2 linked regions of the Oryctolagus cuniculus genome follow. The protein of the gene in region 1 interacts with the protein of each later gene in a pairwise test. Links are inferred from orthologs where the notes say so. Each region holds a gene or a part of one and is shown on either strand. Other genes may lie near its edges.

The links.
Region 2: the proteins of MAPK7 (region 1) and UBE2C interact in binary tests that used the Homo sapiens proteins (3 or more experiments, as listed by UniProt). The two-hybrid records come from large-scale screens. The link is inferred for Oryctolagus cuniculus from reciprocal best matches to the Homo sapiens genes MAPK7 and UBE2C.

The regions. Positions count from the first base shown.
Region 1 is NC_091448.1:61,505,047-61,512,337, forward strand, and holds the start of MAPK7 (mitogen-activated protein kinase 7), read left to right. Parts: upstream 1-3,118; 5' UTR 3,119-4,644; coding exon 4,645-4,863; intron 4,864-4,932; exon of another isoform or gene 4,933-5,094; intron 5,095-5,392; coding exon 5,393-5,630; intron 5,631-6,117; coding exon 6,118-6,283; intron 6,284-6,831; coding exon 6,832-7,291. UniProt on the Homo sapiens protein: Plays a role in various cellular processes such as proliferation, differentiation and cell survival. The upstream activator of MAPK7 is the MAPK kinase MAP2K5.
Region 2 is NC_091442.1:13,575,637-13,582,887, forward strand, and holds UBE2C (ubiquitin-conjugating enzyme E2 C), read right to left. Parts: upstream 3,936-7,251; 5' UTR 3,855-3,935; coding exon 3,754-3,854; intron 3,282-3,753; coding exon 3,254-3,281; intron 2,793-3,253; coding exon 2,706-2,792; intron 1,118-2,705; coding exon 913-1,117; intron 827-912; coding exon 767-826; intron 501-766; coding exon 442-500; 3' UTR 255-441; downstream 1-254. Other genes in the region: DNTTIP1 (deoxynucleotidyltransferase terminal-interacting protein 1), read right to left, coding at 5,408-5,546, 5,653-5,708. UniProt on the Homo sapiens protein: Accepts ubiquitin from the E1 complex and catalyzes its covalent attachment to other proteins. In vitro catalyzes 'Lys-11'- and 'Lys-48'-linked polyubiquitination.

The sequences.
Region 1 (7,291 bases):
TGTCAACCTCAGTGTCTGCTCAGCTTCTGGGCTCTCTCAGGACTACAGCGCGAGGACAGACACCCAGGCACTGGCGGGATGGGCGGCCGACTTCCCCTGCCCAGGTCAGTGGTTGGCCAGGCTGTGCTCAGCGTCAGAACAGGGCTGAGATCACCACGCGGCCCTGGCCTCTGGAAACCAGGGACAGTCACTTCCGGATGCTGCTTCCTGCTGGTCCCTCCGCCCAAACCACATTCAGCTCACAGGGTGGCGTAGTGAAAGCCCCTTTCCCGCTGGGAGACCTGCAAGCGAATACTGCTGCTGAGCAGAGCCAAGGCTGCGTGGGTGTCAGGCCCGGCTCCTGCTGTCCACAGGCCAATGCCCAGCGGCCACACTGCCTTGGTGCCGGGCCCCAGGCCGCAGTCCCTGAGGCCCTTGTGCCATCAGCTTGACCACGCTCGGAGTCTGTGAGCCCCAGCCCACACAGCAGGCCTGTGCCCATCCCCTCCCCGCTCCCCGGTGTGGAAGGCGCTTCCAGCCAGAATCCTCGGGACACGCCGGGGAGAAAGCATCCCTGGGCCACTCTGCAGAGGCAGACAGAGCCCACGAGGAAGCACTGGGGCGGAGGGTGGCTGTGCAGGTGCTGCGTGTCCTGCGGGGGGATGTCTCAGCATCCACGCGCCCCAGTGTGGGCGGCGGTAGCTTGTCACCTGGCTCTGTGTCCCTGGGTGTGCCTCCGCAGCTCTCGGCAGGTTTGTCAGTGTGTGTGTGCTGGGAGTGGGGGAAGAAGGGGTCCTGCAGAGGAGGGCGAGAAGGGCTGGGTGTGTGAACGAGGGGACTCCTGGACACGGAGGTGGCCAGCCTCAGCCCCGACCCCCTTCACGGGGACACGGATGTGTGCCGACTGCCCCGCTGGGAAAGGTGAGGGTGGAAACGTCTGCGGTCACGGGGAGGTAGTGCTGGCAGTGACAGAAGGGCCGGGCCCTGTGCCAGGTGCTCTGTGGATGTGATGTCTCAGCTCCACCCAACAACCCCACGGGCATCTGCACACCCCGCTTCACAGACGAAGAAACCGCCCACGACCTCCATCCTAGGGTCTCGCATGGTCGGTCCCCACCTGCCTCTGGCCCCGTGTCTCTGTGACCCCTCTCCCGCTGTCAGCCTGTTGACCCTGGCCGTGCCGCTCCTCTGCTCGGAGCCTCCCCTGCCTGCCTGGCTGGCTCACACCTGTCCCTGATGTCCTCTTCCCACGTCACTTCCGGAAGCCCTTCCTGACTTCTGAGTGCCCAGCGCAGGCCTCCCGCATCAGGTGGGCTGGGACTGCCCAGTTAGGAGCCCAGCCACAGCAGTCAGCCGAGGACACTGTGGGCTTGCCGGGGCGCAGCAGGAGTCAAACCACACTGTTTCCGAGGCAGCGATGTCAGGAGCGTGGCGTCCCCTGTGTAGCCCCCTCTGCTCCTCTGACTACCCCCACCCCACCCCACCGGCACAGGAGCATGACTGTGCAGGACACTGCTGTTCTTCTCATCGGCCCCTCGGCCGCCCACTGTCCCTACCTCCCAGGCTTCCTTGGGAAAATGGGCCCCATCCACACATGGCCAGAGCAGAGCACAGGTGACTGGGGTTTGGCCAATCAGCACACTCTTCCCCTAGGCTGGGCCTGTCCAATGGGACATGACCTGGAAACGAGGCTAGATGCCCCACGGGCCGGCATGGAGTTCTGCGACACCAACACCCCATATTGGAGACTGGAGCACTGGCTAGAGCCCCGGCTGCTCCAGTTCTGATGCAGCTCCTGGCTAACACACCGGGAGGCAGCAGATGGCCCAGATACCTGGGCCCCTGCCATCCGCGTTGAGACCTGGATGGAGTACCTGGCTCCTGGCTTCAGCCTGGCCCAGCCCTGGCTGTTGTGGCCATTTGGGGATGAGCCAGCAGATGGAAGAGCTCTCTCTCTCTTTCTCCCTCCCTCCCTGCCTGTAACTCTACCTCTCAAATAAATAAATAACATCTTTAAAAAATAAAATGTCCTCTCTTTAGGCTGACACTGGGGCACAGTGGGTAAAGTAGGAACCAACCAGTGGATGGAAGACCTTTCTCTCCATCTCTCTGTAACTCTACCTCTCAGATCCTTAAAAAATTAAAAAGGGAAAAACTTTTTAAAAATAAATCCCATGTGGCCTTGGTATAGATGAAACCTACCTGGGGTGCAGTCATGTCTTGGGCCTGCAGTCACCCTGCACTGACCCCGACTCACCCAGAACAACTTCCGGTCCCGCAAGCCCCATTCGTGGTGAGTGCCCTCCACAGAAGCACTATTTATTCTCGTCTATATTTCACGGTGCTTCCCCACGCTTAGATAGGTTGTGCTACGCAAACACCACCGTTACAAATGCCCACAGGTGTGTGCAGGGCGCAGCAGGTAAGTTCTCACAATGCCAACACCGCCTCCCAGTGTGATTCGCAGAACGCAGCCCTGTCCTGATGGGACCTGGGACTGTCTGAGTCACTTTCCTCTAGTGGCCACCAGGAGGCGGGACCAAGATTTTTCACTTAAACGTTTCTTTACCAAAGTCTCGAACCACAAGAAAATGTGATTCCACCCTTTCCGTTTTTAAACAAGTGGTCAGTTGTGTCAGATGCAACAGAGAGTTCGAGAGGGCAAGGGTCAAAAGGCTGGATTTGACCAGAAAGGGATAACTGATGACTTCTCCAAGACAGAGCCGCTGCTGTGGGAGCAGCAGCACAGTAATTCAGACAAAAAGTAAGAGAATCAGTCTTTTTAACCAGGGGATAGTGAATTGTCTGCAGCGAATAACCTGACTGGATGGAATATTTTTGAAGTATTTAAAGGATACACAGTGCATTAGTCTCTTCTGATATTTTATTCCTGATTCAAATAGGACCACCAGACAGAGTACAGTGGGTCCCTAGAAAATCATGTGTTTCATGTTCCGGCCTCTGTGTGACCTCTGCTTACACTGAGAGCTGACACAGGGCCTCACGCTGCATGGATTTCATCTCTAGAAAGGCCCCTGGGGCCGGCGCTGTGGTTAAGCCGTGGCCTGCAGTGCTGGCATCCCGTATGGACACTGGTTCAAGTCCCAGCTGCTCCACTTCCGATCCAGCTCCCTGCTGAAGCGTCTGGAAAGCAGAAGATGGCACAAGTGCTTGAGCCCCTGCACCTGCGTGCGAGACCTGGAAGAAGCTCCTGGCTCGGCCTGGTCCAGCTCCGGCCATTGCGGCCACAGGGGGAGTGAGCCAGCAGACAGATCTGTCTCTCCCTCTTTCTCTGGTTCTGCCTTTCGAATAAAACAAATAAATCTGTGTAAAAAAAAAAAAATTCCCCTCAAACACTTCCATATCTCAGTAACAGGAAACCCCGTTTCTCAAGAGTACGGTTGGTTGCCTTATTAATGCTCAGTGCAAATCACGTGAGATAATTTGGCTTTGTTATGCTGCCAGGGAAACCAAACAAATTTAGACTTCAACCCCAACTCAGTTGGTTCATACGATCGCTACCTATCTAACTACTAGATATACATATAAAGGTACCGCACGCACTGTGGAAAGCAGAATCAAAAACTTTTTTTAAAAAGAGATTTACTTAGGTGCCTGAAAGGCGTAACTAGAGAGCGGCGAACCGGAGAGAGATCTCACACGTAACGGCTCCCTTCCCAATGGTGGCCACAGCCAGGGCTGTGCCAGGCCGAGCCGGGAACCGGCAACTCCACCCCCGTGTCCGCCGCGGAGGGCAGGGGCCACCTCCCAGGGACCACGCAGCACGGGGGCAGGAAGCCGGATCGGAAGTGGGGCGGCTCGAGCAGGCGCCCCAGCGCGGGCTGCCGGCCGAGGCTGCATTCGTTAAGCCACAACGCTGGCCCTCCCCCCTCAAAAAAGTGTGAAATCCATGCAAAATAAACGACCTTTGAACTCTGCCGAAACGGTCAACCTGGCACTCCGGGACTCCTGACGACCGGGTTCCCTCCCGCTCTCCCCGTCTTCCCATCCGCCGGGCCTGGTGCAGGGCAAACTCGCCCGAATGTCCCAGCTCCACACCGTGGCTCCGCCTGCAGGGCCTTCATTCCTCCACGGAAACAGTCACCGCCGGAGTCTCCACCACAAAGCCGCTTCTTCCTCGCCGCTCTTACCTCCAGCCCTCGCCGCCCTGGCGTCGCAGGGCGGGGCTCGACACTCGACTACGCGAGGAATGGCGTTCCAGTCAGAGTGCTGCCGACTCGCGGACTCCACAGAAGGGCCCGCTGCCTCCTTCCACTCTGTCGCAGCCCGAAACGCCGGAGCCGCGGGACAGAGCCACTGCGGAGGGCAGACGCCGGACCAGCAAACTACCAGCGAGCGCCGGAAGTGTGCGAGAAGACCGGCCGCCGGAAGTCAGCGGCAGCTCCGAGGCCGGACGCTCTAGAATCCCGGAGGACCCAGGTCTCTATGGTTGGACGTGCCTGCTCGCCCTTTCCCGCGAACGATGCTTTCCCAGAGCTCCCAGAACCGAGAAAATGGGGACCCGTTAAGGAAGAGGGGCCCAAGGAGGGGTATTGCGGGAGCCAGTCTCCAAGGTAACAACCCCAGGCCTCTCAGCTCGCCCCGAGTGCCCGGCTGTTCCCCACAATCGCGGGACGAGCCGTGATTGACCGCAGGAGCCGATGGATGGGGACGCGCGCGGGCCGACGTGCAGGGGCGTTGCCTCCTATTCTCGCGGCGCCCGGGGCTGCCGGTGCGCATGCGTGCAGGGGACTGCGCCCGGCGGCCGGCGCACCCCTCCGGAGCGCCGAGCGCCCTCAGGGCGGCGGCTCCCGCCGGCGAGCCGGACCCCGGCGGGCGGAGGTACGGTTTCCTAGGCCGATGCGCCCTGATTGGGCTCAGCAGGTAAAAGGGGTGGGAACCTCCGCAGGGGCCGCTCGCCGATTGGCCGGCGGCGGGAGGGAGCGTGGTCTCGGGAGGCGGGGCGGTGGGGTCCGGGCTGGGCAGCGCGCGGCGCTGAGGAGGTGGCCGCGGGCCTCGGACGGGCGGGAGTGCGGTTCCCGGAGCCCCCTCCTCTAGCCGGGGCCGAGGACGCCGGCGAGCGCTGGGACTTCCAGGATCCCTGAGGAGGCGCCGGTCAGTGAGTGTGGCCCCGAGGAACCCGAGGGCCCCGCCCGCCCTTTCTTCCTGGACTGCGCCGCGCCGCTCCCTCCCCCACCCGCGACCCCGACCCCCACCCGGACCCAGGCCCGGGGCGGCGGCTCCCAGCGTCGGGTGTCTCCAGCGGGCCAGCCGCTCCCATTCGCCAAGTGGCTGGTTTTGGAAACTTGGAAATTTCCCTGGTGCCCCCTCCCCAACCCACAGAAGGGGAAACTGAGACCCCCGGGATGGGGGCTGGGGGTGGGCCCTCTTCATCACCGGCGTCTCCACACAGAGGACCATGGCCGAGCCCCTTAAAGAGGAAGATGGCGAGGATGGCTCTGGGGAGCCCCCCGGGTCGGTGAAGGCTGAACCCGTCCACACCGCCGCCTCGGTCGCCGCCAAGAACCTGGCCCTGCTCAAGGCCCGTTCCTTCGACGTGACCTTCGACGTGGGCGACGAGTACGAGATCATCGAGACGATCGGCAACGGGGCCTACGGGGTGGTGTCATCCGCCCGCCGCCGCCTCACCGGTGCGTCTCCTGGGTCACTGTCCTTGTCAGATTCGGAGTGAGAAACCCTGCCTTAGCCAGCCGGGCTGTGAGGTGTGGTTCCGATCCAGAGATCTCTAGGTGCCCAGGCTCCCAGTGAGGCAGGACTCCTTGCAACTCTGGCCTAGCCGTTTTTTGTTTGGTTTTGTTTTGCCATCCCACCAGGCTGCTGGGCTCTGGGGCCAGAGCCTGGCACCAGGGAGTGGTGGCGGGATGGGCTAGGTCTGGGAGGCTCTCTTGCTAACTGGCTGTGCAGCTTCTCACAGATGACCGCGCCGGGTTCCCTCGTCTGTAACGTTGAGCCGGTAGTACCTACCTCATAGGGTAGCAGCAGTGTGGTTGAAGTGCTTAGTTAGCACCAGGCTCGGTAGCCTGTAGGTGCCCAGTGTGTGGGAGCTGTAGTTGTTTGCATCCTGGAAGTGGCTGCTCTAAGAGACCCTGTGGTGACAGCCTTTGCCCTGCCCCCCAGGCCAGCAGGTAGCCATCAAGAAGATCCCTAATGCTTTCGACGTGGTGACCAATGCCAAACGGACCCTCAGGGAGCTGAAGATCCTCAAACACTTCAAACACGACAACATCATTGCCATCAAGGATATCCTGAGGCCCACGGTGCCCTATGGCGAGTTCAAATCCGTGTAAGCAGCGTGATGGGAGAGGGAGGCACAGTTAGGACTTGTAGCAAGGGCTGGGGCTCCTATCGCTGAAGCTAGGAAAGGCAGCTGGGAAAATTTCCATAATCGCAAGGCCAGTGCTGCCTTAGGGCGTTGCCAGGGCCAGCTGTTACTCCTCAGGAAGAGTAGAGGCCTTACAGTTTCATAGACTCTCAGTGTATAAGCTGGCCAATGTAGAACGTTGATGCTGCTATTGCACCCTCCTACTCCCACAGCAGACATCACTAATTGATCACAGAACCCTTCTCTAGAGAAAACGGGTATGCCTTCACAGTTTTCATCATAGTCCTTCGAGCAGCCCAACAGCAGAGTTAGCCACCAAACTGAACCTTTCGGCCAGCCCTGGTGCAGGCCAGCCCCATCTTGTATGTGGTAAGGAAACTAGGTCTGGAAAGAATCTGGAATTCAGTGCTGTGCCGTCAGGGTCCCAGGGCAAGGCCAGGAGGGCACTGTGAGGATGGTTCTTAGCCCTGGAATACGGAGCCCAGGCCTCTCCCCTGTCCCCCTTCCAGCTACGTGGTCCTAGACCTGATGGAGAGCGACCTGCACCAGATCATCCACTCTTCGCAGCCGCTCACGCTGGAGCACGTGCGCTACTTCCTCTACCAGCTGCTGCGGGGCCTCAAGTACATGCACTCGGCCCAGGTCATCCACCGTGACCTCAAGCCCTCCAACCTGCTGGTGAACGAGAACTGCGAGCTCAAGATCGGGGACTTTGGTATGGCCCGTGGCCTGTGCACGTCTCCCGCCGAGCACCAGTACTTCATGACCGAGTACGTGGCCACCCGCTGGTACCGGGCCCCCGAGCTCATGCTCTCCCTGCACGAGTACACCCAGGCTATCGACCTCTGGTCCGTGGGCTGCATCTTTGGCGAGATGCTGGCCCGGCGCCAGCTCTTCCCAGGCAAAAACTATGTGCATCAGCTACAGCTGATCATGACGGTGCTGGGCACCCCGTCGCCGGCCGTGGTT
Region 2 (7,251 bases), on another chromosome or scaffold:
GGAAGTGGGTGGGTGGTCCTCCCCTCCAGCACGCATAGCTGGGGCAGCTCCAGTACCTACTAGCATTCCTGGGGCTTGTAGTCGCTCCTTCACAGAGAAACCAAGGCCACAGGGGAACAAGCCACTGCTTGGCCTTACAGCCTGTCACCTGCTTCCACCGCTGAAGAGGGGAACAGGCCAATTGCCCAGATGTGAGACCACCCACCGTGCCTGCCCCGAGCACCCCCAACCCAGGGTAACCGCGAGGCAGCAACTTCTACAAAAACAACCAAAATGTGTTTATTTAATATATATCACAAGAACTCAAACAGACTTAATTTAAAAAACAAACAAAAATAACACCACAGCTCAAGACACAGTCCAGTAGAGGTCAAGGACAGGACAGATTCTAAGGCAGAACCAGGAAAGGCGACGGCACAGGGAGAGGCTGGGCAGCCCGGGTCAGGGGTCTTGGCTGGAGACCTGCTTTGAGTAGGTTTCTTGCAGGTACTTCTTAAAAGCTGGAAGAGAACGGGCAGGTGGATGATGAGAGATGGGCACGGATGCCTTTCATCAGGGTGGGAGAGGGCAGTCAGGGACGCTAAGGGGAGTGCCAGGGGAGGCTGGTGGCCGCCCCCCTGCTTTTAGGGAGACTGGGGAACAGCACAGGAGACCAAGTCTGGGAGGGGTTAATTTCCCATATCCGCTCCCTCACCCCAGCGAGCAGGAGGTTCTATTAACCCCACACCTGCCCAACCCAGCGTCCTTGGGCAGGGCTGGGACCCACCTGTGGGGTTTTTCCAGAGCTCGGCGGCATGTGTGTTCAAAGGGCTATCGATGTTGGGCTCTGCGGGTGGAGAGAGAGCAGTCAGCGGCGGCCCGGCAGCACCGGCGGCTCCCGGGCGGCACGGAAGGGGTGCGCTCACACGTTACCTCCCAGCAGGCTCTGGATGGACAGCAGGATGGTCCTGACGTCATACAGGGCGGACCACTTGTCCTTGAGGATGTCCAGGCAGATGTTCCCCTGCGTGTCCACGTTGGGGTGGTAGCAGGGCGTGAGGAACTTCACCGTGGGCGCGTTGTAAGGGTAGCCACTGGGGAACTCCAGGGAGAGCTTGTACCTCAGGTCTTCATATACCTGGCATTGAGAGTGGGGGCAAGGGTCCCACGTGAGCGCCCACCTGGGCCTGCACAGCAGACAAAGCACTCAACTGGTCCCTGCTTTCGTCAGGTGGGCCGTCAGTGGCCCCGGGGGCTGAGCTGTGCGCTGGCACCCCCAGGGCTCTGGCCCAATTGCAGTGTCGGGCCGGGGCAGGTGCCGCGGCGCAGCAGGGTTGGACACCCCGAGACACCTGCGCCCCACAGCAGAGCGCCTTTCAAGCTGCGGCTGCTCCCCGCTTCCAGCCCAGCTTCCTGGCCACGCGCCCTTGCTGCCCGCGTGGGAGTGGGGTGCACTTCTGGGCTCCTGCTTTTGACCTGGCCCAGCTCTGGCTTGTTGTAGCCATTGGGGGAGAGAACCAGTGAATCGCAGATTGTCACTCTGTCTTTCAAATACATAAATAGGGGCCGGCACCGTGGCTCACTTGGTTGATCCTCTGCCTGCGGCGCCGGCATCCCATATGGGCACCGGGTTCTAGTCCCGGTTGCTCCTCTGCCAGTCCAGCTCTCTGCTGTGGCCTGGGAGGGCAGTGGAGGATGGCCCAAGTGCTTGGGCCCCTGCACCCACGTCGGAGACCAGGAGGAAGCACCTGGCTCCTGGCCTCAGATCGGCACAGGGCGCCAGCCGTAGCAGCCATTTGGGGGGGTGAACCAACAGAAAGGAAGACCTTTGTCTCTCTTACCATCTAACTCTGTCAAAAAAAAAAATAAATAAATAAACTTAAAAAAAAGTAGGTTAACATGCAAAAAATTGAATTTGAGGGGGCTGGTGCTGTGGTGTAGCAGGTAAAGCTGCCACATGCAGTGCCGGCATCCCATATGGGCGCCGGTTTGAGTCCCGGCTGCTCCACTTTGATCCACCCCTCTGCTGTGGCCTAGGAAAGCTGTGGAAGATGGCCCAAGTCTTTGGGCTCCTGCACCCATATGGAAGACCTGGAAGAAGCTCCTGGCTTCGGATTGGCGCAGCTCCAGCTGTTGCAGCCAATTGGGAAGTAAACCAGCGGATGGAAGACCTCTCTTTCTCTCGCTCTCTCTGTAACTCTCTCAAATATATATTAAAAAAAGATTTATTTATCTGAAGTGTGTGGGGGTTGTCTTCCATTTGCTGGTTCACTCCTCAAATGGCCCCAACAGCCTGGGCTGGGCCAGGCTGAGCACAGGATCCTGGAACTCCATCCGGGTCTCCCATGTGGGTGGCAGGCACCCAAGTACGTGGGCCATCCTCTGGTGTCTCCCAGGTACGAAGTAGCAGGAGGCTGGGCTGGAAGCAGAGTAGCTGGGGCTCAAAGCGACACTGAAGGGATGCCGGTGTCCCATGCAGCAGCTTCTCACAGAGCAGCTGTGCCTGCCCTGCCCTGAGTCTCTGATCTGACTCCATTGACCAAAGTCCTTATTCCACTCATTGCCTTTTTGCCCGAGCCCTCCAGCCATCTAAGACAGGCAGCACCGTTCACACCCAGCCTGCACAGGTGCAGAACAAGGCTCGGGCGACTGTCTTGCCGAGCTGAAGGCTTGACGCAGCCCTGGCACGGGGAGTCACCTCCACCCCCCAGCACCCCGATACTCACGGTGCCGGCTGCCCCGTGGATGGTCCCTATCCACTTGAAGAGGTTGTCTGACTCAGGGAAGGCAGAGATTCCTTTGTCACCAGACATCTGGGCAGGAAGAACACTTGCTGGATTGCAGAGCTCGGAGACCTTCCCCTAATCCCGTCACACTCCCTAGGGACGGGCTTTCCCCAGGTGGCCTCGGGGCTGCCGCAGAGAGGGTGGGGAGGCTGGGCGGGGAGGGGTTATGCAGCCATGTCCGGTGCCCCTCAGGAGTCCAGACAGGCAATGTGGGTGCTCAAGGGTTGGAGAGAAACAGAAAGGCGCACTCCAAGGTTCGGCAGGGCCAGGACGCCACGGGCAGGGGCTGGGTGACTCCAGGATCGGCGTCGGACAGAATCCCGGAAGACAAGGCGAGGTGGGGACAGGGACTTCTTCCCGGAAAACACAGACACCCTCGCCTTCGCCCCCGTGTCAAGTGGGGCTCTGGTGGAGGGGGCAGGCCATGGACAGTTGGGTGGGAGTGAGGAGGGGGCCAGCTGGCTGGGGGTCTGGGCACGGGCACTCACCATGAGCGTCATTAGCTCCTGCTGTAGCCTAGAAAAAGAGCATTCAGGGTCAGCGGGGAGTTCGGGCGGGCGGGGCCCAGGTGATGCACCCCTCCCTCCCTATCTCCCGCGGGAGCCCCAAGGCCAGACCCGGCCACCTGCCCAGGGTGACCCTGGCGAGTCCTCACGCTCCCCAAGCCCAGGCTCCCGCAGCATGAGTCTGGCAGGTGCTCCACGCCGACCGCTGTCCGCCCGGTCCCCACGCTCCCCTCGCCCTTCCCCGGTCGTTAGTCTCCGACAGCTGCCCGAGCTCCAGGTCTCACCCGCTGCAGGAGGCGGGGGATCTCGGAAGTCTCCACCCGGGGCCCCAGAGCCCGTGGCTGCCCGGCCTCGAGTTCCTGGCGCGTCCTGTGGCCCCCGCAAATCCACCCGCTGAGGAAGGGGGTCCTCGGAGTCCGCGCTCCGGGCCCCGATGCCCCGGGCATGCCGGGGCCGCCGAGCGTCATCTCCGCACCACTCACCTCTTGCCCACGGGGCCCCGCGCGGCGCCCCCGCTCGGCTCGGCGCCTTTACGGGCGGCGGCAACGCTGGCGGCGGCTGGATCGCGATTTTGAGAGGCCATTCGGGCAGCACTCGCCAGAGAAGCAGGAACTAGGAGAACACGGCTGCAACTGCAGGCTGCAGGCCCGCCCGCCCGCGTTTGAATTGTAACCCTCGAGCAGCGTCGACCAATCAGAGGCTCGCTTGGGTTTGATCCAGCCAATAGGGCGCGGCGAAGCGCTCTGTCATTGCTAGGCCCACCCACAAGCGTACCGGCATTGGGCGGTGGGGGCGGCTGTTTCTAACGTCCGACTGGCAGGAGAGGCTGCCATTAACTAACGACTCCGCAGCGGATTGGTGACCTTTGGAAAACGCCGACCATTAAAGGGCCGAGCAAGTGCCCACGTGGGACGGAGCCCCCGAGGGCGAACGCCCGGCACGCCCCTCCCGATCCCTTCTGGCCGGCAGGGCGTGTCGGCCGTCCGCCCCGAGCCGGAAGCCTCAGCTCCACGCCCTGACCCGGGGGCCCGGGCCCCTCAGCGGGGCGGGTCTCGGAGGGCCGCCAACTGCAGACTCCCGATTCCCAGAGGAGGAGAGACGGAGTTCTCACTCTCTGGTTCACGCCCCAGATGCCCGGCCCGGCCCGGCCGGGGCTGGGCCAGGAAGAAGCCGGACCCAGGACCTCCACTGGGGTCTCCCACGCAGGTGGCCGGGGTCCCGGCATGTGAGCCGTCGGCCGCTGCCACGTGCGTGCCAGGACGCTGGGACCCGCAGGCGCTCCACTCCACAGGGGCCGCGGCAGGCGGAGGAGCGAGGACCCCCAGGCGCCATGGCCAAGCGCTCCAGGTGCTCCACTCCACAGGGGCCGCGGCCAGGCGGAGGAGCCGGGACCCCCAAGCGCCACGGCCAAGCGCTCCAGGTGCTCCACTCCATAGGGGCCGCGGCAAGCGGAGGAGCCGGGACCCGCAGGCGCTCCACTCCACAGGGGCCGCGGCCAGGCGGAGGAGCCGGACCCGCAGGTGCCACGGCCAAGCGCTCCAGGTGCTCCACTCCACAGGGGCCGCGGCCAGGCGGAGGAGCGAGGACCCCCAGGCGCTCCCCCCACCGGAGGGCCGTGGGCATCCTAGGTGGCGACTGACTCGCAGCGCTGCTACACCGTGGCTTACCACGCCTCTCCACCGAGTAACAGAGCCAACACCTTTTCATACAGTGTGTCGGCGCATCACGAACCCCCACGGGACTAGCACTCACATCCTGCCCCGTCTTTACCTTAGCTGGGCAAACGGGGGCAGGGAAGGATGGCAAGACACGTGCTGTTCCCAGCTCGGCCTGTGAAGGCCGGTCTATGCTGGGACGGCGAGGAGCCCCTGTTCTCTTTCCCACTTGGTGTTCTGTTGGCCCCACACGGCAGACTGCACAGCGGGTTCACCATCAGTGTTGATTAAAAACTTTATTGCTTCTTATCCTAATAACTTTACAAATACAGAACCACATGCCAGGCTGGGGTGCTCTGCAGTGAGCCACTGCAAACGAGCCCAGGCACAGCTTAATGCTGCTGAGGTCCAACCAGGAGCAGTCCCAGCGACGGCCTCAGCCACAGGGGGAGAGGGCCTTGGCGAGCCAGGGGCCCTGGCCTCAGGTCTGCGGGGGGGCTTCGGCGGCGCGATGCTCATTCTCTGTCCGTAGTGTCTCCATGTACTTTCGCATCTTCTCGACCATCCAGGAGGGCAGGACAAAGGATTTTAGCTCCTCCAGCTTCAGGTCCAGGCATCCTCTAGAACATGTTGGGAGGGAAGTTGAAGCAGGCAGGCCCAGCCTCCAATCAGGGGCTGCCCGGAGGCAGTGGGGTGGGAACGGGGCAGGAGACATGCTGGGGTTACCTGTAGTCGTCACTGGCAGCAAGGTCTCGGATGTCTTCTTCAATGAGGAGGTAGGCCTGGGGCAGGAAGGGAGAGTGGTCACTGCCTCCCATTCATTCACTGCAGCTCAACAATACTGCATGAGACATCTGCCTAATGTAGGGGCTGCTACTAAGCGGGGAGGGGGGACAGCTGACAATTTAGTGGGGGACGGTGAGTTGGGAGAGACTGTCTGGTACTGGTTCCCCAGGACAATCATTCAATGAAATAGAAACCTTACAGGTGGGAGAGTAGGGGCTGGTAATGAACTGATTCATGTTTTTTTTTTTTAAAAAAAGAAAGGACCCAAGGTGACTTATAGGAAAATGGCAAGAGCTAGCAAAATACACATGAAAATAGGAAACCGAAAGGAGGAAGCCATATGCTAACTCTGGGGACTAAGGTAACTTTATTCTGAGCTTTGTAGCAAGGAAAAACATGATAAACTGTACTGTCCTGGGCCTGCAGAGCTGCATGGGTGCAAAGCCGTGGTCTGAAGTGGGAGCTTTCCCTAGGGGATACTGTTCATGACATTAGAAAAGTCTTCTGTGGGAGACCCTCATCAAGTCTGAGGAACAATCACACGTTCTTTGAGTCATCTGTGTCCATCTCATGGACGCTGTGAGCTATGTAACAGGTCAGATGTCCCTGAAAGGGTCCTGGAACTGTATTTTGCAAACACCTACAGAAGTACACAGCCTAGGTCAGCAACTAAACATATGCGTACACACAACCAACCTCGTTGTCTGAAGCTACTATTGCTGGGGGTTTAATTTTAATTTTAGCTCCTTTCTCTCCTCATCTATTTCTTATTTCTATTGTGTTGCATTTTTTAAGATGATTTTTTATTTGAAAGGCAGAGAGAGCCAGATAGAGCGAGAGTGAGAGCAAGAGAGAGGGGGAGGGAGAGCGTGCACTTCAATCTACTGGTTCACTTCCCAAATGGTTGCAACAGCCAGAGCTGGTCCAGGCGGAAGCCAGGAGCTTGAAGCTGCATCTGGGCCCTGCCCACGGGTGGCAGAGGCCTGAGCACTTGGGCTGCCCGCTTCTTCCCTCCAGGGACATCAGCAGAGGCTGGATGGGAAGCTGAGCAGCTGGGCTCTGGTCATTGCTCTGCTACAGGATGCTGGCGTTGCAGGGGGCAGCCTAGCTCACTGTGCCACAGTGCCGGGACCGTGGTGCATTTTTTTTTTTTTATTTGACAGATAGTTAGACAGTGAGAGACAGAGAGAAAGGTCTTCCTTCTGTTGGTTCACCCCCCCAAATGGCCGCTACGGCTGGCACTGCACCGATCCAAAGCCAAGAGCCAGGTGCCCCTCCTGGTCTCCAACGCAGGTACAAGGGCCCAAGCACTTGGGCCATCCTCCACTGCCCTCCCGGGCCACAGCGGAGAGCTGGACTGGAAGGGGAGCAACCGGGACTAGAACCCGGTGCCCATATGGGATGCCGGCGCCGCAGGCAGAAGATTAACCAAGCGAGCCACGGTGCCAGCCCCTCCGTGTTGCATTGTTTAAAAAAAATTTACTTATTGATTTGAAAGGCAGGAGAGAGAGAGAGAGAGAGGGGAAGAGGGAGAGGGAG